4 linked regions of the Tamandua tetradactyla genome follow. The protein of the gene in region 2 purifies or fractionates together with the protein of the main gene of each other region. This does not show direct contact. Links are inferred from orthologs where the notes say so. Each region holds a gene or a part of one and is shown on either strand. Other genes may lie near its edges.

The links.
Region 1: the proteins of PPME1 (region 2) and PPP4C purify together in Homo sapiens (affinity purification with mass spectrometry; 3 studies listed by BioGRID and IntAct, with this or other methods). This does not show direct contact. The link is inferred for Tamandua tetradactyla from reciprocal best matches to the Homo sapiens genes PPME1 and PPP4C.
Region 3: the proteins of PPME1 (region 2) and PPP2R2D purify together in Homo sapiens (affinity purification with mass spectrometry; 4 studies listed by BioGRID and IntAct, counting the BioPlex papers as one, with this or other methods). This does not show direct contact. The link is inferred for Tamandua tetradactyla from reciprocal best matches to the Homo sapiens genes PPME1 and PPP2R2D.
Region 4: the proteins of PPME1 (region 2) and PPP2R2A purify together in Homo sapiens (affinity purification with mass spectrometry; 3 studies listed by BioGRID and IntAct, with this or other methods). This does not show direct contact. The link is inferred for Tamandua tetradactyla from reciprocal best matches to the Homo sapiens genes PPME1 and PPP2R2A.

Annotation. Positions count from the first base shown.
Region 1 is NC_135349.1:24,611,604-24,619,300, forward strand, and holds the start of PPP4C (serine/threonine-protein phosphatase 4 catalytic subunit), read left to right. Parts: upstream 1-4,687; 5' UTR 4,688-4,783; exon of another isoform or gene 4,784-4,822; intron 4,823-5,051; 5' UTR 5,052-5,114; coding exon 5,115-5,212; intron 5,213-5,290; exon of another isoform or gene 5,291-7,697. Other genes in the region: ALDOA (fructose-bisphosphate aldolase A), read left to right, coding at 109-241, 333-544, 998-1,052, 1,169-1,329, 1,639-1,722, 1,817-1,991, 2,113-2,312, 2,414-2,509. UniProt on the Homo sapiens protein: Protein phosphatase that is involved in many processes such as microtubule organization at centrosomes, maturation of spliceosomal snRNPs, apoptosis, DNA repair, tumor necrosis factor (TNF)-alpha signaling, activation of c-Jun N-terminal kinase MAPK8, regulation of histone acetylation, DNA damage checkpoint signaling, NF-kappa-B activation and cell migration.
Region 2 is NC_135334.1:71,570,742-71,578,717, reverse strand, and holds the start of PPME1 (protein phosphatase methylesterase 1), read left to right. Parts: upstream 1-4,970; 5' UTR 4,971-5,148; coding exon 5,149-5,249; exon of another isoform or gene 5,250-5,339; intron 5,340-7,976. Other genes in the region: C2CD3 (C2 domain-containing protein 3), read right to left, coding at 406-563, 3,743-4,012, 4,762-4,831. UniProt on the Homo sapiens protein: Demethylates proteins that have been reversibly carboxymethylated. Demethylates PPP2CB (in vitro) and PPP2CA. Binding to PPP2CA displaces the manganese ion and inactivates the enzyme.
Region 3 is NC_135339.1:94,499,200-94,506,892, reverse strand, and holds the start of PPP2R2D (serine/threonine-protein phosphatase 2A 55 kDa regulatory subunit B delta isoform), read right to left. Parts: upstream 3,004-7,693; 5' UTR 2,977-3,003; coding exon 2,970-2,976; intron 2,888-2,969; coding exon 2,795-2,887; intron 1-2,794. UniProt on the Homo sapiens protein: Substrate-recognition subunit of protein phosphatase 2A (PP2A) that plays a key role in cell cycle by controlling mitosis entry and exit. Involved in chromosome clustering during late mitosis by mediating dephosphorylation of MKI67.
Region 4 is NC_135329.1:27,162,829-27,170,520, forward strand, and holds the start of PPP2R2A (serine/threonine-protein phosphatase 2A 55 kDa regulatory subunit B alpha isoform), read left to right. Parts: upstream 1-4,691; 5' UTR 4,692-4,695; coding exon 4,696-4,732; intron 4,733-5,158; coding exon 5,159-5,233; intron 5,234-7,692. UniProt on the Homo sapiens protein: Substrate-recognition subunit of protein phosphatase 2A (PP2A) that plays a key role in cell cycle by controlling mitosis entry and exit. Involved in chromosome clustering during late mitosis by mediating dephosphorylation of MKI67.

The sequences.
Region 1 (7,697 bases), on a different chromosome or scaffold from region 2:
GAGGTAGGGAACCCATTAGCCCTGACCTCTACGCAAGGGACGCTGCTCACTGGGAGACCATGAGGACATCCAACTAACTAGTCCTCCCCATCTCTCTTCTCTGCCCAGGAACTTACCACCACCACCACCATGCCCTACCCATACCCAGCGCTGACCCCGGAGCAAAAGAAGGAGCTCTCTGACATCGCTAAACGCATTGTGGCTCCGGGCAAGGGCATCCTGGCTGCAGATGAGTCTACCGGTATGGGCAGGAGGCAGAGCCAGGGAGGAGGGCCCAGAGTTGGGAATGGCGGGCTTATCCTCTTATTTTCCCGGGTGACACTCCCCTCCAGGAAGCATTGCCAAGCGGCTGCAATCCATTGGCACCGAGAACACCGAGGAGAACCGGCGCTTCTACCGTCAACTGCTACTGACCGCCGATGACCGTGTGAACCCTTGCATTGGTGGTGTCATCCTCTTCCATGAGACGCTCTACCAGAAGGCGGATGATGGACGTCCCTTCCCCCAAGTCATTAAATCCAAGGGTGGTGTTGTAGGCATCAAGGTGAGGGGGCAAGGTAACAAAGTGGGGGCGGACATCGGATTGGGACTCTGTGGACTGAGGTGGGGTCCTAGATCACCTTCAAAGGATGGAGAGGAAAAGCCAGGGACTTCAGTTACCTGCCTGGCATTTTTAGCCCTCACAATTCTCAGAGGGAGAGATTACTCTGTTTTACAAATGAGAAACCAGAGGGTCAGGGAAGTGAAGTGTTTTGCTTACAGAGTTAGTAACTGGTAGGGCCCAGGCCTCCTGAAACTCAAATCAGTTAACAGTCTGTGCCAGGTAACATCTCCATGTATCTTGCCTCATAGGATTAGATACTGTACCTAAGCAAAAATATTTGTGAGCCATGAGGTGCTGTTTAAGAGATTAAGTTGGGTTCAGATTGGGGCTACAGAGGAGAAAAGGGTGCTAGACCATTTCCTGTTTATCTTGCTGTCCCTCCTCCCCCAACAGGTAGACAAGGGCGTGGTACCCCTGGCAGGAACAAATGGCGAGACCACCACCCAAGGTGAGAACTCTTTGGCTCCTCACTCTATTAACCCATAGTCACCCTTCATGGTGGCCGCGGGTAAGTGGCCAAGTGGCTCCTCCCTCATTGTGCTCTGATTCCTCTGTCTCCTTCAGGGCTGGATGGGCTGTCTGAGCGCTGTGCCCAGTACAAGAAAGATGGAGCTGACTTTGCCAAGTGGCGCTGTGTGCTGAAGATCGGGGAGCATACTCCCACCTCCCTCGCCATTATGGAGAATGCCAATGTGCTGGCCCGTTATGCCAGCATCTGCCAGCAGGTTGGCTTGTGGGTCCCCAGTAAGCCACCTCCCACCTCCTTGGGCCCCAAGCTGTCAGCTAGCCTGCTACGCATCTGCCAGGATACCTACCTCCTCCCCCAAGGCAGCTGTTCCTGGAACTTTCTAGGAACAAATCAGTCTCTGTCTTTGCCCAGCAGAAGATGCTCAGAAAGCTCTGCAAGGCAGAGGACTAGAGTAGGCTTATGAGGTTGGTCTTGAAGCCAGGAGTTCCTCTCAGCCAGTGACTTCAGGGGGGTTGGAGGCAGAACCCTGGGTTTAGGAGGCCTCACCCCACTTCCCACCCAACAGAATGGCATCGTGCCCATCGTGGAGCCAGAGATTCTCCCCGACGGGGACCATGACTTGAGGCGCTGTCAATATGTAACCGAGAAGGTAGGTTCCTGCTTGCTGTGGTGGGTGGGGCAGCTGGGCCAGGGCCCTGACCTGACCCGTCTCCCCACCCAACTTGGGCCCTGCCCTACTCCAGGTGCTGGCTGCTGTTTACAAGGCTCTGAGTGACCACCACGTCTACCTGGAAGGCACTTTGCTGAAGCCCAACATGGTAACCCCAGGCCATGCCTGCACCCAGAAGTTTTCTCACGAGGAGATTGCCATAGCAACTGTCACAGCACTGCGCCGCACAGTGCCTCCTGCTGTCCCTGGTGAGGCGTGCAACTTCATCTTGGGAAGGGGGTACTTTATACCCACAGACTTTATACCCATCTGGTCTGTTCTTCAGGGCAGCTTCTTGGGGATCCTATCTGTCTCACCCTTGTTCTGCAGGAGTCACCTTCCTATCTGGAGGCCAGAGTGAAGAGGAGGCATCCATCAACCTTAACGCCATCAACAAGTGCCCCCTGCAGAAGCCATGGGCCCTGACCTTCTCCTATGGCCGAGCCCTGCAGGCTTCTGCCCTGAAGGCCTGGGGTGGGAAGAAGGAGAACCTGAAGGCTGCCCAGGAAGAGTATGTCAAGCGAGCCCTGGTAAGGATGGGGCAGGATGCAGACAGGGTACCTGGGTAGGTGGGATTCTGAGAAGCTGGGTTCCCTGAGGCCTTCTCACTCTGGTTTCTCTCCCCCTTTAGGCCAACAGCCTTGCCTGCCAAGGAAAGTACACCCCAAGTGGCCAGACCGGCACCGCAGCCAGCGAGTCCCTCTTCATCTCTAACCATGCCTACTAAGCAGAGGTGTTCTAAGGTTGCCCCCTCAACACTCCAAGCCCCTGCTTCCTCCTACACTCACTGTCAAGGAGGGGCTTCATCTGGGGCTCCCGGCTGCTCTTTCCCATCACTTTTTTGCCTCCCTTGTGACTTTGGTGTGTGGTGTTGTCTGTATATGCTAACTCCATCCTTTACAGCCCACTGCCAATAAACAACTATTTAAGGGGGACTCTGTTGTCTGTGCTCGTGGTGTTTGGCGCAGTGGGGAACCTGCAAAGGTGGCAGAGCCCTGAAGAAGAAAGCTCTTGTTTTTGTGTCCTTCCTTGTTTTATACTTGCCCAGAGCTTTCAGGAAGACAGAGAGTTTGTGAAATTCTCCAACCACTATATGCTCCACCCATTTCTATCAGCAGCATCTGATAAGGCTCACAGATAAGGGCGCAAATGTACTGCTCAAGTCACCAGAGGCCACAGTATCAGCCCAGAACTCAGGGTGCACAAGGCCCCTGTGGAAAAATAGTAACTGCTTAAAGCCAGACAGTGTAGCAGGTGCTGTAGATGAGTAGGTACTGCTATTCCCGGCCATCTTGCCTAAGATCACACAAGTTTCTTCGGGGAAAACAGGATTATTACTGCATATCCCCATAAGGGGGCTGGTCCATTGCCCCATTTTATGGGCGAGATGGAATTAAAATTCTTAGTCCTCTTTGGGCCATGGAATCCCTGAAGGCATTTGGAATTCTCTCCAACATTCAATTAAACAATGCAGACAGCACACGTACTCCAGGTTCCAGGTTAACTGCACCTCAGCAGCTGCCACAGTCCATGAGGCCAGAGGGAAGGTCCTGAAGCTGTCCCTATGCAATGCGCTGAACTCTTCCTCAATCATCCAGGCTGGGATGCTACAGTAACTACACTGGATTCTTCTGAACTGCCAAAGATCCTAACCACAGACATAGCCCTGCTGCCACCTCCCAAATTTTCTGCAACTTCTTTCACTGCCAGCCTTTCTGGATAGGGACTCTTTCCTGTCTGAACTTCCCATCCATGAAAAAGGTCATGACCTTTCTGTCCTTTCTGGACCTAAAAAATCCCCACAATGATCCTCATAGAACTGACTTACCTAGTACCTTCTAGGAACCCTCGTCCTTCCCTTCTGTGCACATTTGCACCTACTGCCTGCATTCATGTATCAAATCCACTCCTAGTGGCCCTCCAAACTTTGGCCTCATTTCTGTGCCTAGCCTCAATTCTGGGAAACAAAACTTGAAGCAAATAAAAGTTGAGGGTAAGTAGAAAGAAAGCAAAAACGACACTTCAAAAAACAGCATGTGTAAAGGCTGAGAGACTGGAAAGGTGGAGAGTGGGCTTAGATTAGAGTATCTTCCTCTGCCTCCAGCAAAAGAGACAAGGGAAGCAGAGGACTACAAATGTCAGGGGAGTTTGGAAAATTCTGGACTTCTGAATTTTATAACGATTCACTGAACTACAGAAATGGTAAATTCTGAGAAAATGGAAAAACTAGATTTGAGAACAGTTTTCTGGGGTTCAAATTTCAACCCTGATTCAAATCTCAAATTCTCAGCTATGTAACCATGAACAAATTAGTTCTTTGAGCCAGCTTCCTCCTCCTAACAAAGGAACAAAACTTGCCTTAGATAGGAAGTAACTGAGGTGAGGTAAAGGGACCTATTTTGTAATGAGGTAGGTCTTTAGCTTGATGAGGGAAATGTGGATCTTTTCTTCTGCCTCTAACTGTAGATGTCCCGATGGCAAAGATTTCCCCCGGGCCATGAAAAGAGACTGGGGATTGGACTGAGATTCCTTCGGCCATGAACAAATATTTATGTATGCCTACTATGTGCCAGGCCCATAGGGCTACAATGGTAAACAAGACAAAATTCCATACCTCAAGGATTGTAGTAGGCGAGGCAAACTACAACAGATGGGCAAAAGTACTTAACATGAAGTTAAGAGGTTTAAGCACAGCTCAGCTTCAGTTTCCCTAACTGAAACGGCAGGGAACTGGCCTGAGGTCTGTAACACCCTCCAGTACCGGCCCGTTTAGTCCACAACTTCCGTCCACAACTTCCGTCCGCATGTTACCTACAACCAGCTCCCTCCGCTCACTTCATTCTTAGGCTTGAGAGGTGTGGTTAAGGGCGCGGCGCGGAAGGGAGGAGTGTATATGACGCCACTTCCGACGCGCGCCGGAACTAGCTTCCCTTTGCTTCCGCGGCGGGGCCGGAAGTAGGAGCAGCGGTAGTGGCGGCCCAAAGCGGGGGGAAGGAGGAAGGTAGAGAGCCTGAGAGCCGGAGCCGGAGTCGCAGCGGCGGTAATAGCCCGAGACCCCTCCAGGCCACGTCCCTAGCGCGGGACCTGTGGGGTTCGACGGGAGTTAGCGGCGGTGCGGCCAGAGCCGCGGGACGTCGGGAGTCTCTGGGAGCCGATGTGAGGGGAGGCGGGTAGGGGGGGGGAAGGGGCGGGCCAGCCTCAGAATCGCGTTGGCCCCTGGCGCCCCGTACGGACATTCAGATCTGTGGGGTCGTCTTCACCTTTCCCAGGGGACCCCTGTGCGGTGCAGAGGGGGCAGTGGCCCCGGCTCTGACCCGCGCTGGGGGTGGGCCATGGCGGAGATCAGCGACCTGGACCGGCAGATAGAGCAGCTGCGACGCTGCGAGCTCATCAAGGAGAGCGAAGTCAAGGCCCTCTGCGCCAAGGCTAGGTAAGCCTGCTAGCCCCGGGGAGGGGAGGTCTTGCCGCTACTCGGACGTTCTGACCCCGGGCAAGCCCAGCGGAGAACTCTGGGCCTGGCCCACCTAGGAAGTGTTCCCTGAGAGGAGCAGTATAACGCCCCTTTCCTCGAGGAGCCACTAGCCTGCTGGGGGAGGCACACCTTAATAAAGACACTTAAAGTATCAGATGATGTATTTTTATAAAGTAGTAAGAGAAGTTATGGAAAGTATTCAGGAAGCTTAAAGCAACAATCCCATCTTTTGGGGAGGAACAGGGAAGACTCCTTGGCGGAGCTGTACTTTGGGCAGGCCTTTAAAAATGAGATAAAAGGGAGTGTCAGCAAGAACAAAGAGTCAAGGCAGGAAAGCAAGAAACTCTGTGGTTTACAAAGTTCTTTTAATTCCACCAACAAGCCATAAAAGGTGGGTGTCTTCAGTTTACAAGTGAGAAATCTCATGTTAATTCACCAGCAAGTAGGGGTTAGAATCCGAGATCAGTTTTCTGTGTCCTGTCCCTTTTCTGGCCATAATGCTAGAAGGGGTGGACTTCATCCAACTCTCATTTTCATTGGTAGGACCTCAGAATTGCAGCAAATAAGCTAGAGTAGAATTAAGCCCTGGATGGAGGGAGGCCCATCGCAGAGTTTTATGGGAAGTAGAATGGTGTGGTGGTTAAGAGCAGAGGCCTTGGAGTATGATGGCTCTGGGTTTGAATCTGAGCTCTGCTGCTTACTAGCTGTGTTTGTGGTCTTGAGCTCTCTGAGACTCCATTTCACCAACTGAGAAGTGAGGATAATAGTACTTAATAAGTTGGTTGTGAAGATTCAGTGAGTTGGTGCGTGGTATGAAGTTAGCATAGTGCTTTGGTCCAGTGCAAATATTTGGCAATCATTAAGTGTTATTGTTGTTGCTATATTAGACGAGGGCAGTGCTGGCATTGGCTGAAGTCATCAGGGAAGGTTTCTAAGTGAAGGTAGGCCTTGAAGCATGAAGATAATTTGGGTAAGCAATGGGGCAGGACCAGGGAGGAAGGACATTCCAAGCACAATGAGAGTAGGAATGGAGGCCTGAAATGTGTGCGCAACAGTGAGGAGACTAATCACCTGCCTTATCCAAGAAACTGTTTGACTGTGGCTTCCCCAAGGCTGGAAAATTTACAAGCCCACTGTTTGGCCATGAACTGGCAAGAAGGAAAAAAAAAAAAACAATCTTCCCCCAGCCAGCTTGTAAGGTTGGAATTATTTGCTCCATTTTACAGAAGAGGAAGCCAGATTCCTAGAGGCCAGGTAATTTGACTGAGGAAGTGGCGGAGCTGGATTTTTTGCCTCACATAGGCCTTTTGCCCCACATAGACCCTCTACAGCCAGGCAAAGTTTGCATGAGTTTGGTAAACAGGCGAGGCCCCTTTATAAGTGCCTGTCTCTGACTCCTCTGTGCTTTGTCAGTTCAAGGAAATTGCCCTGACTTGGCCAGCTTCAAAGTGTTTTTAGTTGTCTTAGCTTCCTCGGTTCTTACTGGCATTTTAGGAACTTAAACCAGTTGCTGCCTGGCCCTTTTCCGTTTCCGATCAGTCTTGTTTTCACAGGGCCTGAATCAGTGTGCTGGTGATAAGGGCTAATGCTTGGGTAGTATGCTAGAGTTTTCAGAGTAAATGAGAAATTATGCCTTCATTCTCTTTGTTCCTTGCAGCAGCCTTATGGATAAGGCAGGGCAGGGATGAGTATTTATTCCACTTCACGGAAGAGGAAATTGTCCAAGGTCTTGCCCAAGGTTACAAAGCTGACTGGAAGGGATGTTGGTTTTGAATCTAGGTCTCTGACTGTTCTTTTCAGTCATCAACAGCTTGGCAGAGACATTTAGACTTTGATGTGGGGTGTGAGGCAGCAGAGAACTAGGGAGGTCTGGTGGGTGCAAGGGTCCTACCATTTGAAACTGAAGTGGACTAGGAGGTACTAACTATACTGACGTCTGAGTTGGCCACCATTGTCCCAGGCCCAGTCTGAAGAAGGACCAGTTCTGGGATCTAGTTCATGGCCTCGTGGGGACCCACTAGGGCTTCCACTTGCTCAGAGGATTCATAGACTCAAACCCTGGGATCCAGAGAGGCCTGCAGTGCCTGAGCTGAAATAGCTCCTTTTAGAAGAATTTAGCAAAAGCTTTTGAATCTGGCAGTCTTTGATTGGAATCCCAGCATTGCCACCTATAAACAACGTGACCCTGATGACTTCACTTCTCTGAATCTTTGAGCTCATTTTAAGGCTCAAATGAGATCTACATATCCAACAACAGGACCTGACACATTGGTGGGCACTTAAAGAAGGTAGTGTTAGTAGTGGAAATAAAGGTAAGCAGGTGGGAGCTATGCCAGGGCAGGTGGTGTGCTGCAAGTGACAGGCAACCTGGGCCTTGTTACCAGATCATGCTGGGACCCCACTGGCACTCAGGTACAGTTTTGCAGAAAGCAGGGACCTTCCT
Region 2 (7,976 bases):
AGCTCTTATTTGATCCAAACAAGCATTTATAGTTTGGCACTATGTTAGCCTCTCAAGGAATCTATAAATTAATTAAATACACAATGTTGGAGAACATGCAGGTTTTTAATTAGAGTAGTGATTATGTAATTTTTTACATAATCTAATGGTTTTGTGAATTTAATAGACAGTGCAATAGGAATTGAGGGCTCCTGAAATTTGAAATGGATAGTAAAGTGCTAAGAGGATCTGGATTAAGTGGGGAGAAAGGAAGGTTATAGACTCTGAGGAAAACATGAACAAAGGCATTAAAGTAGGAATTAGCATTGTATCTGGGAGTCATGTACACAACCATTCTACAGACTGACTCAACTATTTCTGCCCTCCAATTTTATTCTAAGCAGCAAAGAATTAGAATATGTTTACCTGAAGTTCTCCAAGTTTCTTAGATATTGATGAAATAATGGTAAAAAATCCACTGATTTGATGGGTTGGAGAAAGCTGGGCTAATCCACCGATCTGAACTCTACCAACTGGAAGATGATCAAGTTTGGTGATTACTTCCAGCACCAGCACAGCCATATCTAATCAAAAACAAGTACAACTTATTGATTCCATATATACATTATATTTCATTTACTTTTATTGGCATACATTGGAAAATTTTTCTTATTTTAAAAACATTCTTTTATTTTCAAATAAAACAGTCACTTACCATACCATTCTGGGTTGGGGGAATTTTGATCTTGAACCCAAAATGAAAAGAACAATAAAGTTTTACAGATACCTCATACTGAGAAAAAATGTTACACTGAATGAAAATATTTAGCATAAGGAAAATTACGTTGAAAGAGTATTTTAAAATTTATTTTTCAAGAACATAGGTTCAGTTTTGAAATATAAAAGCACCAAATCTCAGTTCTTTCATTCTCATCATTTCTGGTTTTGAATTAGACAAAGGGCTGCTCTTGCACAGCTGTAAGGGCTGCTCCCTGCCTCCCAGGGGGTCTAACTACTTACTTCTCGGTTATATCTGATCTCTGAGATCAGATTCCCCTGGTTATCAGAGCCCTTGGAATTAAGAAGAATGGAACTTAACTGTATCCTTCAATTAGTCCCTTAGATCTAATACCTTCATGGCCATAATTCACAGCAAGAGAAATATGATGTATGTATATATGTAATCTAAGATCGTTTCAGGGCAGTATAGCTTCTAAATATTTTCCTACCAAGACTTTACATTTTTAGAAGACATGCACCTACAATGTGCCATATACAGGTGAATCATTTTACAGACATTTTTTCATTTAATCTCCACAACAATCCTTACAAGGTAAGTGTTATTACCCTCAATTAACAAATGTGAAACTGAGGCTACAAGGTCTTACGGAATCTCTAACATCACTTGGCTTTCCAGTCCTAGAAACAAAGTCCAAATTCTGGACTGTTTGACTTCAAAGCCCATGTTCTTCCCATTCAACCAGGTTGCTTCTTCATGAAAAACGTTAGATGGTGAAAGGGCAGCTATTTGATCCCATTTTACAGATTTTTCAGAAATGCAAAGGAACTTGCCCAAAGCCCTACAGGTGTTGTTCAGATGCCAGGTCCCATTCTTCATTATACCACATGATGCACAAATAAATATCTGACCTCTTGTCTTTCATTTTAATAATATCTTCACTCTTACTGAAGAATTTCTAATCATACTTCTTTGTTAAATTATATAAAAATACCACCTGAGGACTTAAGGTTTAGGTTTACGGCAAAACAATGTAAATTTAACATTCCCTTAATCATTCTTGTTAGCTAAATGTGAGCAAAAGAATACGGCTAAGCAAGCAACAGAGAAAGTCTATGAAACTTCTTCAGAAGAGCTAATGAAACCAAATGGCTGGCATAAAAATGAAGTTAAATACTTACTGTAGCTATCAGTCCAAAATAAAAAACTAAAAACATGCTGCAAAAATAAGAACACCTAATAGCAAACCAAAGGAGAATAGGGGGAGAGAGTTTACTTTATTCCATTGCTATTTTTCCTTCATCATATCTCAAGATTGCCTTCTATTGTTTGTTGTTTAGTTCAGGTATCTGAACTAAAGAGTTATTACATTTCACTTGGTTCAGTGCAACAGTCTAAGTGATCCTTTTTTTCTTTTTTTTTTTACATGGGCAGGCACCGGGAATCGAACCCGGGCCCTCTGGCATGGCAGGCGAGCATTCTTGTCTGCCACTGTGGCCTGCCCTCTAAGTGATCTTTTTGCCTTTAGTCTCTCCCCTCCAATTCACCTGCTGAAAGTCACACTAACCATCCTAAAATGCAGGTTACTTTTAAAATAAAAAATATTTAGTGATTCTTCACTGGATATAAAGTCCAAAATCCTTAGCTTGGCTACTGAAGTCCTTTCACATATGGTCCCAAGCCAACTTTCCAATTTCATCTTGTCTCATCTTCCTCCACAGTCCTTACACTTTAGTCATTAAACTTCTCATTGCATCCAAAACAACCCTCATATTTCCATGTCTTCAAGTTTCTGCTAAGACCCAGATTAAATAGCATCTTCCCCATGAATCTTCATTACATCTTCATTTTAGGAAGGAATAGTTCACTCCTATACATTTTACACTCCTTTATGTGAGTGAAATTTTCCCAGTATGTTATTTATACTTCCTTAGTAGCAGTGGTCACTTTCCATCTACTCTTATAACTAAACATTTCTGTGAATTTAGTTAAAACTGGATACTTTCCTGATTCATTTTTGTATGCATCTAGCACAATGTCTAGCACAGAGAAAGTGTTCAAGATATTCGTTAAATAACTGAATTATGGCATTTACTTGTTCTTTATATATATATATATATATATATATTTTTTTTTTTTTTTTTTTTTTTTTGCACGAGCAGGCACTGGGAATCAAACCCAGGTCTCCGGCATGGCAGGTGAGAACTCTGCCTGCTGAGCCACCGTGGTCCACCCTGTTCTTTATTTTTTACTTTAATATTTTTTTAAAAAAATTTCTTGATAGATATAGCTATTTAAGGCATTGTTAATTTCTAATTTGCCTCTGACAATCCAGTTTTCCTAGCCTAAGAGCATTTATATGATAAATATTCAATTTTTATTGACTTGAATGGTATTGATTTGATAAATAACCCCACTATCCAAAATGTGTTTACTTAACCCAAATAAAGGATTTACACTGTATATCTAGAATGCTTTCTTGTACCAAAATGAAGAAATCTTGTCTTCCTGGATCCATACAGAGGGATCCTTCCCTCCTCTGAAAATCTGTATTACTAACTTGCCAAACCATTCATTTGACATGTATTACCTTGTAGTATTAGTAAATTTTATATCTATATCTTCTTTCCACAGACATAATGTAAGCCCAGATAGAGACTACAGCTATTACCTGAAGAAGTATGGTGTACAGAAAAGAGCATGAGTTTTGGTGTCACAGAAGTGGGTTCAAATCCCAGCTCTGTTATTTATCAACTATGTGACCTTACAGAGTATTTATTTCACCCTCTGATTCAGTTTGTCTATAAAACAGAAATTACCTATCTTGCAGGATTTTTGTAAGGATTAAAAATTATATGTATAAACTGCCACGATATCATACACAATCAAAAGTGGTTACTATCAAACCTCTTTGACTCCTCAATGTGTCCAGCACATATTAGGTACACAATAACACTTATCGCTAAGAACATAAAGGAATGCTTCTTGTTAGACTACTAGTGAAATGATAAGAAAAAAATATACCTGTTAGATAAGAGTTAAACTGCTTTGGACCACAGCGAATAGCATAACGTGTAGTTGTTCTCACAGCTTTTGGTTCAGTCTGCAAAGTATCCCGTGGACAAAAGAGGGTTCCATCTGATGTTTCTCCCCACCATCTCACTCGGACAAGTACACAAGTGGGAGGCTTTGCAATCTTCCATATGACTTTATTAACAGTAAGTTTCAGAAAGCAGCGTAGCTGACCTTCAACCAGAGGTGGTAGGCTTGTAGATGGAGAAATGTCACTCAAACCTGTAGAAGAATCCAAGAACACTGAGTTAAGGGACTTGCTTTGTGCTAGTCCTTGGGAATCCAATAATGTATAAAATGTGGTCATTGCCCATTAGGATCACGGACACAGTTTAGGTGTCTTCCAGTCCCATGCGGCAATCCAAAATTATACCTCTCCCCTCACTTTCAACTTTATCTTCAACAACAGTCCTGTAATTTTTGTTCCTATTCCCTAGAGGGGAGAGGAAACCTTGTAGCCCTCACTCCGCCCCATCTGGTTCCCCGTTTTGCCACTCCCGTCCTCCAGCCCCTATTTCCTTTCCATTCTTTGAAGAGTCAAGTGCCCTCTCCTTTAACCTTCTGGTTCCCTGGTTATTCGCCCTTCTCCGTCCCTTAATCTATAGGGGGGGAAGGGGCGAGATAGCTGTGTCTTCCACCTTGCTCCCCCAACGCCCACCCTGTTAAGCTTTCTCTGGTTACCTCTTTTCTTGCGGCCACGGCCGCCCCCGAGCCCCGGAGTTTTTCGTTGTTTCATGGCGACCGCGAGCTTCACCAACTTAACTACAGCCCCGGCACCAAAGCCGTACCCTTGGCCCCACCATCCCTTCCAGAGCGCCCGCGTCCCCTGGCAACTGGTGCCGCTGGGAAGCCTGGGAAGCAGGAACAAGTGACTCTTCCTCTAACAGTCAGTAGGAACCGGTTAGAAGAGAAGGCGCCAAGTCGCCTTCTAGACAATAGACTACAACACCCAGGATACTTTGCTACTATACCTCTTTGGGGTATGAGGCTGTCATCTCCAGCTGCGCAAGCGCAAAGGTAGAGCCCCTTTGAGGACTCCATTGCCCAGAATGCATTGCCCTTAGGAGCGCTCCTCTTTCCAGCGAGGGTTGTAGAGTTCTCCACTTCGGGTCCGAGAGATGCGCACACTCTGTTACCCAGCTTCCTTTGTGGGAGGGCTGTTGCGCACTTCCGGCGGAGGCGCTGAAGAAAGGGGGTGGGGTTTTCGAAGCCGGTGGGCGGTGGGCGGTACTGCCGGTAGCTGGGGGCTGTCCAAAGGCGACAGGGCGTCGCTAGGGCAGCGAACTGTGATCGGTTGGGCAGCACGTAGCGTGGGACGAAAGCTTGGCTGCTGTTTGACTACGTGCGGCCTTCCCTTCATGTCGGCCCTAGAGAAGAGTATGCACCTCGGCCGCCTGCCTTCTCGCCCTCCCTTACCGGGCAGCGGGGGCAGTCAGAGCGGAGCCAAAATGCGAATGGGGTACGTGACCCGTGCCTCTTCTCCCTCGAGTCTGGGCTGCGGCCATTGGAGAATGGTGTTTCTGAGCGTTTAGAACTGCACGGAGGGGAGGTAAATGATAGGAAAGAAGGTTGGTGGCTGCCTGGGAGAGATATGTATGGAGTAGAAAGCAGATTTGGGGTTAGGGGAGGTGCCAAGTCGATGGAAATTGGAGGACACCATCAGAAAAAGGCTTGAAGGAAATTTGGGCTCTTAGTAGTGTTGAAGGGAAATGGGGAATGAAGCAAAGATTGGGGAAGCCAAGATGATAATTTAAAGGAGGTAGGAGGAACCTCTAGAAGAAGGGATGAAGGAAGTTTGAGAAAAAGGAATAGAGCAATGATAGAGGTAGGGGGAGATCTGCTAGGGCATGTTGAGGGAAATGGGAATGACTGAGAAAAAAGTTGAAGGGAATTAGGGGAACCACAAAGGAAAGGTTTCAGAGGAGTAAGACCTGTGAGAACAGAATCTTACAAAAGCAGAGGGGAGTAGGGAACGCTTGAGTAGATTTGGAGACGCAAAGAGGAGAGTCAGAGAACAGAAGGTTCTAGAGTTCCCAGAGGTATAAGAGGCAGATTCAGAGAATGAGGGGTGACTAGGAGATTATGTCTCCTAAGGAAGAATTGAGAAACCTTGGGGAATAGGCCTAAGGAAAGATGGAGAACAGCCAGGAAGACTGTTAAGTGTAATAAGAATGTGCTGAGAAGCTGGTGGGAATAAGGGAAGAAAAGGGAAAGGGCTGAATTGCTGAGAAAGTGACCATGGGCTTGAGGGATTGAGAAATAATTTGGAATAGTGTTTGGTAAATGAAAGTGGTGCAGAGGCAAAATCTGGGAAGCCTGAGGAGGAATATTTGGGTATGATATATACTGGGCAGATAGGTCTGAGAGAATCCATGTACTGATCTGATAAGACTCAGTGAATTAGTGAAGCATTGGGAGTAGCCGCTTAAAGTTTTTATGGGGAAAAATATATTGGAAAGGGAGGAGTTGTGTTGAAAGAACAGGCTTTGGAATTTTAGGTTGTTGAATGGCTTGTGCCAGATTTGGGGATACTTAGGCATAGGAGAGAGAATATAAGTTGAAGATGGGAAAAGAAATTGCTGGAAAGCAGAGGGAATTGAATAGGCAGTTGGGATTGAGGGGTGTTTGTAGTATCAGGCAGGATTCTGGGGACTATTGACTAAAGAGAATAGGAGTAGGAAGATTACTTAGGTATGTGGTAGTCAGGAATATGTTTGGGACTGCAGAGATGGGTTGGTAGATATTCGGGAAATAAGGACTAGTGAAGAGAAGCCTTATGGTCTAAAAAAGTAATAATGTACAAAAATTGCTCAGAACAGGGAGGAGGATGGAAGATGCCGTAATGTAAAAATAAGTTCTAAGAATGAAGTGAAAGGAGAATTCTGTAAACTAAAACAGTACAATAGAGGAGGTGATGGGAGTGATTAAATAAACTAGGGAAGGAAATTAAGAATTGAAGTGATGGCTTGTGAGTTACAGTAGAAGAAATGAGAAAACGTTGAGAAGACAAGGTAGATTGTGGCTACATAAACCTGTAAGATAAAATGAGAATTGTTTTGGCATTGGAATAAAGAAAGGTAATACTGTAACATAAATAAAAGGATCTGGAAACTGATCTGTAACAGATTATTTAAGAGAATTAACCTGGAGTAAAATTAATGTGGCATTTATCGATCTGTATCTTAATTGCCTTTCTAAAACTAAAATTTGAACTTATCATTAGCCTTTGTCTGTATAAAACTAAATAATGAGCAATTATCATTTTAATAACTATATAGTCTTTAGGCAAATGTAATTAGAGTTCAGCTCCTCACTTTGTCAAAAAAAAGTTCTCTGATAAAAAAGTATTTGCAAAGTACCATTGGTGGTCTGGGGAGAAAGGAGTAAATATTCAACTTCCCCATTTGGAGAATTTCTAATATTCTAGCAAGCAGTGGGGACAACCAAATCAGTAGGCTGAGCCCTCGATCTTGAGGTTCGCCCCTGTGAAACTTATTCCTGCAAAGGATAGGCTAAGCTTAATTAAAATTAGGCGTAAGAGTCACCCCCCAGAGATCCTCTTTTGTTGCTCAGATGATGCCTCTCTCTCTTAAGCCAGCTCAGCAGGTGAATTCACTGCCCTCCCCACTGTGTGGGACATGACTTCCAGGGGTGTAAATCTTCCTGGCAACATGAAACAGAACTCCCAGAATGAGCCAGAACCCGACATCAAGGGATTGAGAAAGGCTTCTTGATCAAAAGAGGGAAGAGAGAAATGAGACAAACTAAAGTGTTAGTGGCTGAGAGATTTCAGAGTCAAGAGGTTATCCTGAAGGTTATTCTTATTCATTCAATAAGAAGGTTATTCTTATTCATATAAGAATAAGAATATTCTTATTCTTATTCATTCAGTACACCTTTTTAGTTTATGGTGTATTGGAGTGGCTGGAGGGAAGTACCTGAAACTGTTGAACTGTGTTCCTGTAGCCTTGATTCTTTTTTTTAACTTTTTTATTGTATAGTATAACATATACAAAGCAAAGAAATAAAAAAGCAATAGTTTTCAAAGCTCTCTTCAAAAAAGTGGTTACAGAATAGATCCCAGAGTTTGTCATGGGCTACCATACAATCCTCTCATATTTTTCCTTCTAGCTGCTCCAGAATATAGGAGGGTAGCAGGCTTAAATACTTTTTTATCATCACAATT
Region 3 (7,693 bases), on a different chromosome or scaffold from region 2:
GCAGTCCGATGACTGATGACCAGAGGCCTGTCACCACTGTCAGTCAACATTCTTGCTGCCAGCAGGACAATTACTAACCTTCTTTAAGCCCTGATCTCCTCCTAATTACAGAGAGAGAGAGATGGGAAAACAATGATCTCACACACAGCATTACTGACTCTTAGCACTAAGGCTGACCTGACCCACAGAAAAACCCAATTCTTAAAAAAAACAAGCCAAAAAATACATTTTACACAGTCCAATACTTTCATCAGGAGTTATGATTAAAGAACCTAGAAATTACTAGTTTTAAAAACAAAAAGGAAACCAAAACCAAAAGCCTCTTTCCTTTTTATTCATTCCACAACCTTCAAAGTCAAAAGTGCTTACTTTTAACCCCTATTCCCCATCCTCTCTAAGAGCTGTTGTTATCAAAAGAAGAAACGGACCCAAGCCTCAATGTCCCTTGGACTTTCTTCTTCATACCTATCCATCACAGGGAGACGCAGAAAGACAGTCTAAAGTGTAAGATTAAGGTCGAACTCTGGGGAGTAGTTTGAACCAGAACAAAACCTCAAGAGCAAAATACCTCACAAACCACAAATAAATTTTACTACACCTTCAATTGTTCAGTGAAAGTTGCAGCCTCTCCTGAATCACTCATTTCCTATTAATTTCCTCTAATGAAAATTTCTTTCACTTCAAGGTTGAGTTTGAGACACAAATTCTGCAAATCACATTACCCAACTTTCTAATGATTGCTTTTTCCTTCATCACTAACTTCTATGGTAATAATGCAATTCAAACTAGTAATATCAAAACCATTTGACAAAATGGTAGTGATAAATGTGTTAACCGCAATCAGTTACTCAAGTTAAACATATGGATTAAAACAGAAAGCTTCAAACACATACATTAATTTAAAAAGTGGGTCATCACCACAAGCAATTTAGAAAAAGTCAACAACCTGAATTATAAAACTTTTAGAGAATTAAAAATAAGGGTTTGAAATTGCAAAAACTTCCGATCAGTTTAATTTAGAGAACAAAACATTTTTGTAATGATTTTTAAAGAGAATAATGCCATTTTTGAGATGTCACATTCAAAAATGTCACATTCAAAAAAAAATACACACGCACACTCTACAAGGACATGGGCTTTATGGGGAACGCGAGGGCGGCACGAGAGACTCCCAGGTTCCACACCCCCACATAAGACTCTGAGCCTTGGCCCGCGGAACGCTAAAGTCACATTTAATTTTAATTCATTCAGCTTGGTGAAAAAGCTTCTAAATGAGAAAGAAATGGGAACTTAGAGCAGGCATGAAGACTCCTCACACACACACATACTCCTTCCTCCTGAGATAAGTCACTACTTCATTCCAGTGAGGCTCAGCTCTCACTCACCTGGCACATGCAAAATGAAACAAAAAGAACAACTATGTCCAATTAATATAAAAGAAACAGAATCTTCAATAAATTAGTTATGTTATATAAAATCACCTAGCTTCAGCTTCAAGTCCTATACATCTTTACAAATTTCTTTGAGGAGAGTTTCCTGCTTACTAATACAGGCACTGACGTCTCCCGGGGCCAAGGATCTCCAGATGTCCTCAGGGTCATGCGTCAAACTAAACCCTGCCGGGGAGAGATACAGGGTGCAGGGGGAAAGGTTACTCAAATGGCCAAGGTGGAGGAAAGCTGACAAGACATCTGACCAGTTTCTTAGGGGAGGGAAGATGTACCTGGGGCAAAGCACTAGCCAAGGTAAATCACTTTTAAGAGAAGAGTGAAAGTGCACAATGTTCAGCAAGATGACCGAACACGACACAAAGTGCCCTGGCTTTAAACCTGAAACAGAGTCTCTAAGAATCACTTCTACATCCAACTGTGTTTAAGCACACATGTTGCGTGCATACACACGCACTCTACAAGGACACGGGCTTTATGGGGAACGCGAGGGCGGCACGAGAGACTCCCAGGTCCCACACCCCACCTAAGACTCTGAGCCTTGGCCCGCGGAACGCAAAGCTCAGGAAAGACATGCCCACGGAAGCCAATGCCCTGAGGTTCAAGACTGGCTCTGCGGTAAGGACACTCAAAATCCAAGAACGTGAGAAGCTCAGAAAGGACCTGAGAGCTCGGTAGCCAAGCTTCCTTTCTGAAGATGAAGAAAGCGAGGCAGAAACCCTGGCGAGGACAGCCCGGGGGTTCGCACAGGGCTTGGGCCTGGAACCGAGACCCCCGACCAGGCACCCACTCCCCCGGCACCGCCGCTCCGCATCTTTCCGCCGGAACAGAGACCCCAAACGGACTCCTCGACGCCCCAGTTCCTGCCTTTACGTCCTCGGCTCCACGAACGCAGAGGCCGGCACTGACACGGCAGACCACCGGGAACGGGTTGGGAGGACGCGGGTTCTCGCCCAGCTCCACCCTGCCCGGCTCGGCGACCTCGGTACCTACATAAGCCCTCAGGCCAGCCGCGTCCATGCCCTCCCGCCCGCGAGCACGACACGTCGGCGAGCCGCGCCGCGCCACGTTCCCCGGAGGCTTCCCGCCGCCGCCGCCAGCTCCGCGGCCCCGGCCGGGCCCACCCGACTCGGACGCGGGCCCACGCGCGGCCAGCCCAGCCCCCGGCCGGCCCGAGCGCGCAGCGACGTCCCGGGACGCCCGGGCCCACAGGGTCGCCGAGCAGACGCGCCGCGGTGCCGCCCGGAGCCAGGGCGCGCTCGGGACAGCGCCTGCCGGGCCACGAGGCGCGGCGGCCGGCCGAGGGCAGGAGGGCCCGGGGCGCGCCCCACGCGCGGGCGCCTTACCTTCGGCCACGTCCTCGTCGATGGCTCCCTTGACCTGCGAGAAGCACCACTGGAAGTCGTTGCCGCCCGCGGGGCAGCAGCCGCCGCCGGCTCCTGCAAACACACAACCCGGCGCGTCAGGCGGGCCGCGGCCCCCGCCCCGGACTCGCCCCCGGCCGCGGCGCGGGCCTCTCACCTGCCATAGCCGGCGGGCGGCGGGCGCGCTGAGGCGGCGGCGGGGGCGGCGCGTCGGCCGCGCCGACTGCGGCTGACGGGAGGAGGCGGCCGCCGCGCTGCTGCCGCCCTGGAATCTCAGCCCCGGCCGCCCAGCCGCCGCCGCCGCCGCCGCCTCCGCCGCCGCCGGGAAGTGATTTTTTTTTTTCCCTTTTCAAAATGGCGCCCAATGCCCGTCGCCCCGCTCGATGACGTCATCCCTCCTCCGAGCGCGCCGCGGGCGGGGGGCGGAGCTGTCCGGGGAGGGCGCCCCCGGCGCGGGGGCGGGGCCGGCACGGCCGCGGGGGCTGTCGGGGGCGCTTCGCGCTCCGACGGCGCCTGCGCACAATCCACCGCGGGCCGCAAGCCGTGCCCCGCCCCCTAGCCTAGGGCCACGGCTCCGCCCAGGGCCGGAAAAAGGGACTCCTCAGTGCCGTGGGCCGGGTTCTTGCCCGTCGGGTTTCTTGGCGTCTGGGGTGACCTAGTGCTTGGGACTCAGTGACAGGTGCTCCCTGGAAGACCATCAGTAGGGCCGCCGCCGGCCTCCTGGCTCTCTCAGAGGGATGTTAGAGAGCGCGAAGCTCTATCCCCAGGGACTTGGCGGGTGGGCCCGGGTGGTGGCCGCGACTCTAGCCCCCGGGCTTCTCCAGAGGGCGCGCCCGCCCGGCAGTGCTTCACGCACGGCCCCGCCCCTGCCGGGCCTCGGCCAATGGAGGCGTGGTCCTTCCGCGAGCCCCGCCCGAGATGCCTCGCCTCTACCCGGGCCCCGCCCCTTCTGGGTCTCGGCCAATGGAAACGCAGTACTTCCGCGAGCACCGCCCCACATGTCTCGCCTCTACCTGGGCTCCGCCCCTTCCGGGCCTCGGCCAATGGGAACGCGGTCCTTCCGCGAACCCCGCGGCGGCGTAGGTCAGGGCTGCCAAGTGCCGCGCAGGTCAGCGGCTCTCGGCCGGCTGACCCCCCTCTTGGACTCGCCCCACTGCGAGCTGACCCCCTTTAAGCTGACTCCCTCCCCGGGCCCTACCCCGCCGGCCGGCTCTGCGCGTCCTGCTGTCTGAGCACGCGGAGCAGGGACCGTCCCGGTCCTGGGAGCCTGGGAGCGCGGGCTCGCTGCTGTCCGACTCTGGGGGACTCCCAGGCGCGGGGAGCCCTCGCCTACCAGCAGCAGGAAAACTTTCGGCGTTGGGTGGCCACGGTGGCTTAAGTTGCAGAGTTCTCGCCTCCCATGCCGGAGACCCGGGTTCGGTCCTCGTGCCTGCCCATGTGAAAAAAAAATTTTTTTTCGGCGTTGGACCTCCGCTGGGCTCATCTTTTTTCCTAGCGGGCTTGCTTTCAGAGGCCCAGGGACAGGTCACCGCCACTTAGGAGATTTTCGGCAAGCGAAGCCGTAACTGCCCTCGGGGTCGCCATGGAGTCGCAGTGGCTGCCTCACCCTTCTGGAGGCCGAATGTGGGGATCCCCGCGGAGGTGTTCCGAGCAGTTCCGGCGGGTACGCGGGAGGTGGTGCGCTAGCCGGGGGTCAGTGAGGAACACAGCGGGTAATGGAGAAAGAAAAATGTAGAAGTCAGACCGTGTTACATAGCAAAGTACTGAAAAAAAAGGGTGTGCGTAGAAGAAAAAGGCAATTTTTATCAGGGTGTGTATTCCTTTTCAAGAACCACTACAGTGGTTCTCTTTGCCTTGCTGGGTGTCCAGGCCGAGGCTGCAGGTCACCTGCTCAGGCCCTGGGTGCCTTTCCATCCTGCTCCGGTGGTGGGGGCCTGCTCCCCTCCCCCATTCTCCAGAGTTCGTTACCTGCTGAGCTGTGTGGGACTCCGAGAGCATCGGGTCCGCAGAGTCATGGCCCCCAAACGCGGGTGCCCTGGTCCCCAGGAGTCTGTGGATTATCCACCTCATGTGGCAAGGGGGACTTTGCTGCTGTAACTCCACAGCCCTCAATATGGGGGGGGGTTTCCCTGGCTGACCCAGGTGGGCCCAGTGTGATCAAAAGAGCACTTAGGAGAAGAGCCCTTCCTCCAGCAGGGTTGGCGAGACAGCGATGGGAACTGCAGGGGAGTCCGAGCCCCCTTGCTGAGCCCGCTTCTGGGAAGGCCTGGGGTGGGGGAGGCAAGCCACCTCGGGGGGCCAAGGCAGCTGGCACGGAGACCTCAGGCCACGGCCAGCAGCGAGACCAGGTCCTGCCAACTGCTTGCAAGGGTTTGGAAGCAGGCTTCATCCCAGGGCTCCAGAAAGGACTCCAGCTCAGGGGACCTCTTGATTTCGTCCCATGAGCTGCTCAGTGGGGAACTGGCTGCCATGGGGTCCCCGGCCTCTGACCTACAGAACCATGAGGTGACAAACGGGTGCTCTTTCCAACCCGGAGGCCTGGGGTCCTTTGTCACGGCAGGAGTAGAAAGCGAATGCGAGTGCTTATGCAGAAACAGGTGTGCTTGGGTTGCTCATCTTGCTGGCCTTCGCCATCCTGGGGACTGGGCTTTTAGTTCAGTCACTGACTGAGTGTCACCTGCCTAGTATTTGCGTGGCAGGGCCATGGAGCCACGTCTGGGGGCCCGTGGGGGCAGGTATGGGGGAGAGCCCACCTGTGCTCCCCACTGCCTCTGCTCCCAGGGGTCCCACGAGCACCCACAGAGCACTTTGCCTGCTTTCACCCAGTGCTCAGGAGATCCCACAAGCAGATAAGGAAGCGATTTGCCCAAGGCTGCATGACTGCTCAGAACCACAGCCCAGGTCTGCCCTCAAGGCCAGGCCCCTCAACCTCGAGACCGGAGGTTGTAAAACGTGAAGTAAGGTAGGACCCAGCCTCTAGGGGAGAACCTGCACTTGTATATTTATGGAAAGGGCAGGTGGTCCAGGCAGGCTGCTCATCCTAATGCCTGGGGCCTGGGTGGGGAGAGCGCTCTCAGTGGACTTGGAGACGTCCTGCGGTTGCTTTGTACCCCCCATCCCAATTCGATTTTGTGGGGCCCATGGCGGCCCGCAGCCCTGCTCTGTCCTGCATGCCCCTCCCCTTTCCCTCTGCCCTCAGAGCAGCTTCAAGGACCTCGCAAGGACCAGCCTTCCTCCTGCCAGTTCCCCAGCCCGCCCTAACCGGGTTTTGGCGTTCTCTTCCTCTTGGGGAAAACCGGATACCTAATAGCATTGCCTTCCAGAAGTCCATTCAAAGGCAGCCAGGGTGGGAGGTATCTCCATGTGGAGCCGGGAACAGAGGGTTGCCAGGTGGGAGCGCTGTGCCCCCGTTGTCCCCCTGGATTTTCTCCTATCGGGCAGGGACTTCCTTTCCCCAAGGGCAGCCCTCAGGTCAGAACCAAAGAACGGACCACCGAAGCGTGCTGGTGGAAGCTGTGGTGTGCCCCAGAAGAGCCGCATTCTTTAATCTACATTGAATATTGCTGGGTCGGAGCTTTTTAATTATCCATAGAGATGTGACCCACCCAACTGTGGGTGGTAACTTTTGATGAGGTGGTTTCCATGGAGAAGTGTCTCTACCCATTCAAGGTGGGGTTGCTTCCTGGAGCCCTTTAAGAGGGAATCATTTTGGAAAAAGCTTTAGAGGCACCAGAACCAACAGAGCCCACAGAACAGGCAGAGCCCCGGGAAGCCACTGAAGGGAAAGCCAGCAGATCTCGCCATGGACCTTTCCAGCTGAGAGAGAAACCCTGAACATCATCAGCCTTCCTGACCCAGGTGTCTTCCCCTGATGCCTTAATTTGTACATCTGCATAGGCTGACTTTAATTTGGACATTTTTACAACCTTAGAACTGTAAACTTGCTATTTAATAAATTCCCTTTTTTAAAAGCCGGTTCATTTCTGGTCTATCACATTCTGGCAGCTTCTTTGAACTAGAACACCAAGTCCTCACTCTTGGGTTAAATGTGCAAATGATGAAGCACAGGTGTAGGAGGGAAATGGGGCAGCCACTAGCCAGGGCAGCCTCCCCAGGCTTCCCAGGCCTGGGAGGACAGCAGACGCTGGGTGCAGTCAGGGTCTTCCACCTCCCTGGCTGTCTGCAGCCCACCCACGGCCCCCACGGATGACTGCATCCTAGTTCCTGGGACTGGTGAATGTGGGAACAGGAGGGAGCTGCGGGTGAGGTTAAGTGAAGGGTCCGAGATGGAGGTGATACTGGACCTAGGGCAAGTCTGAGGGCATCACAGTGGTCCTTAGAAGCGGGGGCCGGGACCAGAGCTTGTAGTTTGTAGGCACACCTGTGCATGTGCACAGTTTGTAGGTCCACGTGTGTGTATGTATGTGTGTGTGCATAGCATTTGGTGTGCGTGTGTGTGCATGTGCATAGTTTGTAAGTACATGTGTGTACGTGTGCATAATTTGTAAGTGTACGTGTGTGTGTGCACGTACATAGTTTGTAGGTGCACGTGTGTGTATGCATGTTTGTGCATAGTTTATAAGAGCACTTGTATGTATGCGTGTGCATAGTTTGTAGGGGCACGTATGTGGATGTGTGCACGTGCATGGTTTGTAGTGCACGTGTGTGTGTGTATGTGTGTGTGGATAGCTTGCAGGTACACGTGTGTGGATGTGTGAGCATAGTTTGTAGGTGCACGTGTGTGGGGGTGTGTGCACAGGCACATTTTGTAGGTTCACGTGTGTGTATGTGTGTGTGCATAGTTTGTAGGTGCACGTGTGTGTATGTCTGTGTTTGCATAGTTTGTAAGTGCACGTATCTGCAGTAGATGTGTGTGCACAT
Region 4 (7,692 bases), on a different chromosome or scaffold from region 2:
ATGCCTCTTCCTTCCAGAGTAAAGAAGGGTTAAGTGAAACATTTATGACATGGCAAACTTTAGTGATCCAACATTTCGGTGGTTTTATTCCCAAGCCTGAGAGATTAATTCATTCATCCGTTCATCTATCAAATTATGTGGCTGGTGATGTGGAGATGTTTAAAGCATACTTCTTGCCCTCAAAGAACTCAGTCTAGTAGCACACAGACACAATTAGGTAATTAAAATATGATCTTGTAAGAGAGCAGGCATTAGATTTTATGAAAATATTTAGGAAGGGCACCCAACCCAGCTCTTGGTGGGTAGGCAATGGGGGAAAATAAAAGAGAAGCCTTCCTGGAGGAAGTTATATCTGAATTGGATTTTAAAGAATTATGAGTTTTATTAGTTGAGAAATGAAAAAGGGATGGGTGTGTCAGAGTGTTGGGGTGAGTGGATGGTGGTGTTCCAGGGAAAGGGACAACATTAGCCAAGGTAGAGAGGAGATATTTGAAATGCTTTTGGACATCTGTGGAAATGTCAAGAAGGCAGTTAGAGGTATGTCTAGAGTTCTGGGATGAGGATGGGGCAGGAGATCTAGATTTAGCAGTTACTGGTGTACATGAAGTTGGTGTAAATAAAATTGCCCCCAGAGAGTGTGTGCTTAGAGAAGGGAACCCCAGACAGAGGCCAGGGTGACAAATCACCCTAATATTTAGAGGATGGGCTGGGAAGAGGGGCCAGCAAAGGAAACTGAGCGGGGTGGCTAGAAAGACTGGGGGGAAACCAATAATATATCAAGAGAAAAAAAAACAGTCACAAGTAAGAAAGGAGTGATCCACCATTTCAAATGCTGTTGGAAAGTAGAAAAAGATAAAACAGAAAAAGGTAAAAAAACAGAAAACTATTGGCTTTGGTAACGTGGAGATCATGACCTTGACAGTGAAGTGATGGGGATGTAAGCCCGAGTGCAAAGGATGGAAGAGAGAATGTAGATAAGTAAGGGGAAACTGCCAAGAGCAAACCTTAACCTTGGGCTAGTGGGTATTCTGGCCTCTTTTCCTAAGAAGAAAAGGAAGCAGCTTGTGGTCCTCCATAGGGATTACTCAGTGTCAAAAAGTGCCAGGTCACTTATATCAGAGTGCCAGAGTGTACTGACCCTTGATAATTAGATCCATCTCAATTCATCCCATATTCATATAGTAACCTTGAAATTCTATGTAATATTCTTAGAACAGTGGCCAGCATATAGTTAGTTACTATATGAATTTTTGTTATAATTAGCCCTCTTCCCAGGCAAGATTTATTGGTTTCTAAGAAATTATTTACATTGACCAAATCATTTTCAGGGTCTTACCCATGGCAAAAACTGGAGCATAAAGAAGAAAAGTGACTTTATTACAAGAATCTCAGTCCTGTTTAGTGGTCAATTCCCTTACACTTTCTCTCCCTGAGAGTTCTGGTTAAGATGGCGATCTAGAGGAGTCTGGGCTTGAACTACCAAACAAAGGCAGAGAAAACAAAAAGGAAAACTAAGGGTACTGGCATATCCAGAGAAATACATTATGAAATCAATCGCTATAGAAGTAAACAGATATAGAGTGGATTTCAATTTTGGGTTTGTTTGTTGATAAAGTGAGAAATAATGTAGAATTGGAGGGGGCATAATATGTTCCATCTGAAGGACTTTTGGAAACTTGTTTTACAATTGAACCTTTTAGGAAACCAAGAATAAGGTAGGAGGTGGAAAAGCTGGGGAGGAGGTGTAAATATATTAATCTTCCTCTCTTTCTTTGTCTAGGAATGCCTTATCACTCCATTCAGCCTTAAGGTCAGAGTTTTAATGTTTTTGTAGGTGTTTTTCATATGTAAAATGCGGATCTGTCTCTTACAGGATTATTGCAGAGATCAAGTGAGATATGTAAAGTACCTGGCTGGTTACTGCATCATTAGGGTGTCTTTGACCAAACTGCACATCCCTTCTTGGCTGATGACCTGCTACTTTTCCAGCGTGTTCTTTTCCCCTTTCTACCTCTTAACAATATTGAAGACGCTTTCAAGACAAATCTAATAATAATGGCAGCTATCATTATTGTTTACCGTTTACTCAGTTAAACCATTTAGTCTCCAAAACATTATTATATGATAGAATTGTTATCCCGATACCACCTAGTCAGTATTTGTACCCAGGCAGCCACTCTACAGGGCCCAGTTATCTTAACTATTGATTCTATTACTTTTGCTGTACAGACCTGGGTCACTTTTCTGGCCATATTCTGCTACTAGCAAACTCAGAAACTACTCTTCTAGCTTTCAGCTTCCGAAAAGGACTCGTGCCTTAGTTCCTGGGGCCCATGCGAAGGTAATTTAATTCACCCAGATGGAGCCGGTCCAGTTGCCTCTTTCTCAGACTCGCGAATTTTCACCTTGGTTGTGCAGCGCGTCTGCTTTATGTCATCGTCCCTTTATTTCACTGACTTCAGGATTAAGCCACAGTCTTACTCTCTTAAGTAGCAACACGAGTATTTTCAAAAAAGATATAATACACTCAAGAACCCCTCCAAACCCTGCGAGTGAGCACGTGAAGCGGACAGCTGAGCCGGCCCCAGAGTCCCCGCACCCAGGCTCCTTTCACTGATCCATTCCTGAAAGTCGCGTGGGCTTCGGAAACGGTGGTGTGCAATGGGCTGCGGTTTGAGTAGTCTACGCAAAACCAGCCGGAGCGGGAGACTGGTAAGAGCCGGCGGAGGGAGCGCCGCAAGGGAACCACCATACCAGCAGCGCGTGTGCCAGGGCGCCGGGCAGGCGGGGACGCTGCGGGCGGGGAAGGACCCAGGCGCTTGAGGGGCGGGACAGGGGAGAGAGCCGGGAGACCAAGAGGGCGTGGCCGGGAGCCAGCCCGGCCGCTCCCCTGCCCCTCCCCCGCTCCTCTCCAGTGCTCACCCCGCCCCGCTCCGCCCCTTGGGCTGAGCCCCGGGCTCCACCCGCCGAGTGACGTCACTTGCCAGGCCAGCCGGCGCCATTTTGAAAGTGGAGTCGCCTGCCCCTGCCGCTGCTTCCGCCGCCGCCGCCGCCGCTGGAGAAAGAGCAAGAGCCGGGAAGCTTCAGAGTGAAATCCACCATCCTGCTGGCTGGTCTGCCCGCCCCTTCTTCCTTCTCCCCCAACCCCCGCCCCTTCCCCCACAGGTGCTATCCGCTGCCATCCGCCCTCTCTACCCCCCCATCCCCAGGTGAGGGGGGTGAGTTCAGGAAGCAGAGACCCCGAGGAACCCAGCAGGGTCACCATTTGCAGCGCAACATGGCAGGTAAAGGAGAAATCACCCTCGCCCACTGACAAGCAACCGCTTCCTCCTCCTTCCTCCCTCCATCACCCCCTAGCGACTGCCTGGGTTTCATAGAGCCACGGAGTGCTCTTCGGTTTTCTGGGAATTGGTCAAGTTGGGGTGGGGTGGGGGTGGGGAGGGTTCTGGTGAGGCGAGTCGTGGCTGTGCTACCACACTGGCTTTTAAAATAAGGGCTGGAACCCTTGCATGGGGGGTGGGTGCGCTCGGCCAGCAATGGGGTAAGGCGTGGGTGGGGTGGGGCGGGGTGGGGGCGAGTGCAGATTTGTCCGTACTGCTTTGGTGTCCGGTGTATCCTCCACCACCACCACCACCCCCATCCCCCAGGGCTTTTTTTGTATGGCTCTTCCTTCATTTAATTCTATTTCTCCCCCTGCAAACCTTCTTGGTTGGGTGTATATACAATTATATTTTGCACAGGAGAGGTAGAGTGGTTTAGAAGTCAAAATACAATGGGAACATACGTGCGTTTTTCTCCTGTGGGTACGTAAATTTTTGAGACCAATGCTCAATTTTTTACCTTGAACCATCTCCCTTTTGAATCTTAACCCTTTAAGGCCTTTAATATGGCAGGTTGCATGAAAAATGTAATTTAAACTTTCCGTTTTGCTTGTTAGCTTTTGTGCAGATGTCCTTTCCCCAAAAGGGTTTCATAGAGTTAGTTAAAATAGTGATGGAGTTCAGTGATATAAATAGCAAAAGGGAAAGATATTTGGGTTAAAGCTTGGGGAAAAAAAGAATGTATGGGGAAAACCAGGTTGGAATATTTAGTGAGGAATGGGAGTGAAGGAAGAGAGAGGTAATTGCTTGGAGGATTATTTTTGTACTTTTTAAAATTTTTGTGCTGCCAAATAACTTCATCTAATAGAATCAGTTCTAGATCTAGATTTTCTTACTCTATGCATGCAAGACATTTTCATGATTTTCTTCTCGGTGCTTGGAAGTGAAATAGAACTATTCAGGAACTCAACCAGTTTTTCCACACTTTTTTTTCAATGTGAGATAGTTAAACCTTTCAAAAAGTTTTAAAAATATTGGATCAGCTTGCATTTGCCATAGACAAGTTGCCCTTTGGCTTCGTTGAATAGTAAAATGAAATTAAAATTGTTTTGCACAAGATGATGACAAAATAGAAAAATAAAATCCTTCATAAGATCCTTTAGATTTTGAAGGATAAACTAAAGGGGGGAGGAAAAACAAACTTCCTTTGACAAGTAAAACAGCATTCATTTCGGTTTCTTTTCCTCTCTCTGTCTGGAGCCAGTGATTTGCTGGTAATGAAATGCAGAGAAATGGGTGGTGAGTGTTGTGTTTGCTGTGTGTGCGCTTTGGTGATAGGGTTCATATGAATCATTTACTTCTCACCCAGGCGGTAATGTTCCTGAAGTTTTCTCTTCGTTCTATGTTTCATGGTAGTTTAAACTTATTTACTTTCCTGCAGGCTTTTGGTACTCTTAAAGAAAAACTATTAAGCTTTTGGTATTTACTTTTTTCTGGTAGGTCATGCTTAAATGTAAAGCTTTTACTGCATTTTAGGGGAAGGGAAAAATGGAAGGAAGTTTGGAACACATGTACAATGTTAATGTTTGTACATGCCTTTAAATATTTCTTACCCGAAAGCTCTTTTTTCCTCCTCCTTTTTTTGAAAGCAATGTTATAACCAACTATTGGGGACTGATCTTTTTCCAAATTAGTACTGTGGAGTGGTGGTTATGTGTGTGGGCAGTACTAGGCTATTAGAATCATGCCAATCATGGATACCATCTCTGTGTTTATGAGAGTAAACATGAACAGAATTCTGTTTTAATTGGTATGTTTTTGTTGTTGTTGTTTTCCAGGAGCTGGAGGAGGGAATGATATTCAGTGGTGTTTTTCTCAGGTGAAAGGAGCAGTAGAAGATGATGTAGCAGAAGGTAAGAAAGTGTTTAGTAATGCAAAACTTGAGTATAGAATTTTTTCAAATCTTGTTTACTGAAGGATTTCCTTGAAGCTGAGTCTGTAATAGTTTAAGAACATTTCGTGTTTATTGTCTGAGAAATGGGAGAACAATTTTAAAAGTTACCTTTCGAGAAAATAGTCTTGACTCTTTAACACCTTTTTTGTTTTTTTATGCCTTGTTTTGTTATTATTTTCCTGAATTAAATGAAAGGAGCAAAAAATAAATAAATAAATGAAAGGAGCAGTAGATGATGATGTATGTAAAACCATCACAAGAAAAATCTAAGGTTCCTAGGATAAAGGTTTCCTTGCTATATACATTCTACATACAAATAAATGGTTTTAATGTTTGTACCTTGTTTTTAGATAATTAAGTTGAAATAGGTGCTTTCACCGGTTAGCTCAGAACATTATTGACAGCAGCTTTTATTTTTGTGGAAAGATTTTTAGGTTTTTTTGAACTTGGCAGTGTGGTGTTGGTTGGGATAGTCTATGAAGAAATTCTGGCTCACAGTATGCATTTTATTGTCTTGTAGAGATTAATTTAGGTGGATAAGAAAATAGCATTATGAATATATATCTGGTCTTTTGGGGAACTTATGTTTTTGTGCAGTTAGAAATTGGGCTTGATCAGTTGAAGAACTTAAGTCTCATATCCCTTTCCCACCCCCCAGAATTGTATATTAATGTATTTCAAAAATTTTAATGTTTTTGCTCTCAATCAGGAGATGGCCTTAGGCAGCGGCAGTGGAAACATTATTTCCCATTAAGTAGTTGCATTACTTTATCATCAAGAACCATTATATAAAGTTTGAATCTTAATAGTATTTGGAAATAGTATCTTACAGTAGGAATTTTCCAACAAAATTCGGTTAAATAGAAACGTACTTAACTTTAAAAAAATTTGTCTAGTGAAAATTTATACCTCTTCATTGTCTTGGTTGTATTGTCCTCAATTAAGATCATATTTCTGACCCACAATCTAGCATGTTGGGTTTGGTGGTAGGTAGATGACTTTATGTTGAGCCAGCTTTGTATTTGCTTGTGTTACTATAATTTTTAATGAAGTTTCTGATCAGAGTTTTGTGAAACCTGTGGGATGTCAACTGGCATATGTTATACCAGTAAGACTTGACAGAACACCCTCATATTTCTTTCCTGTTGTATCCTCACCTGTTTTTCAAATGAGAAACCAGCAGCTTACAGAAGTTGAGAAGCTCACCAGTAGGCCCACAAATATGTACTGTGTTTCTGGCTAAGTCTGTGGTGTTTGACTTGTTCAGAAAAATAAATCCTAAGTTCATGGGAGGAGTCATGTGTTACTCATTTTGTAACTCCATTACCTGTTGAATAGTAGGCGCTCAAATATTGGATCGTTAGTTCTGTGCTATTGTGTAATAGCCACCAAGTTAAGAAAGTGCTGTATACTTAAAGACATTCCTTCATTCAATTCCATTATCAGGTTCTAGTGGGGGCCTCCTAAGTGCTGAGCCCTGGGAGTATAAGGCATCTTGAACAAAAACCCTCCCCTTTGGGGGTTATAATTTACTTAAACATTAGGCAGAAAGACCACATGGATTTTATTTTCAATCAGAAGGAACTGATGTTCTAAATTTACCAAATTGAATCAAATGATGGTTTGTGATATATATGGTGGGTCAGTCGTAGTTCTCTTATACTTGCTGTATTTTGCTACTGATTCTTTAAATAATGAATTTCTTTTGAGTTTGTTAAGTATTATTTTAATATTCAGTGCGCTCTTGGCATCCTAAAAAAGCTGAGGCTTGTTATGTCTGTTTTAATCAAAACAGTGATTTGTCCTAGTACGTATGTCTGTACAAGTGGATTAAAGATAGAGAGCATCCAGTTTTCAAATTATGCTGCTTTATTTGCAGTAATTTTGCATACTATGATTTGTATTCCATAGTCTGTTGTTTATTTTACTAAAGGAATACTTGCTGTTTCGAAATAAGTAGGATTATTACTACGTATTTCCCCATTGGTTTAGATTATAATTTTTAAAGAGCTGATGTCTAGCTCATCCTTAAGCATAGCTTTTGCATATTCTGTTAATGATTTATATCCGTTTCTTTCCTGGTAAAGGCTCCAAGTTGTCTCTCTCTATCCATGTACTGTCCACTGCCAAGTCTATGTTTTTTTACACCATCAGTGCTTTCATTCTCTTTCTGTACCTACTTTCATTCTAGCTCAGGTTCTCAGTATCTCATCTGGATTACAGTAATTTCTTCCATGATTTGCTGATTCTTGTCCTATGTTTTCCTTCTGGGGTTAAGTACTGTCCCAATTTGGTCTTCTCAGAAATCTTCAGTTATCCACTGAATTTTGAATTAAGTTCAAACATGTAGTAAGACCACAGTGTGACCTTTCACCAACATGGCCTGTACTGCTTTAAGTTTATTTGCCAGTATGGTTT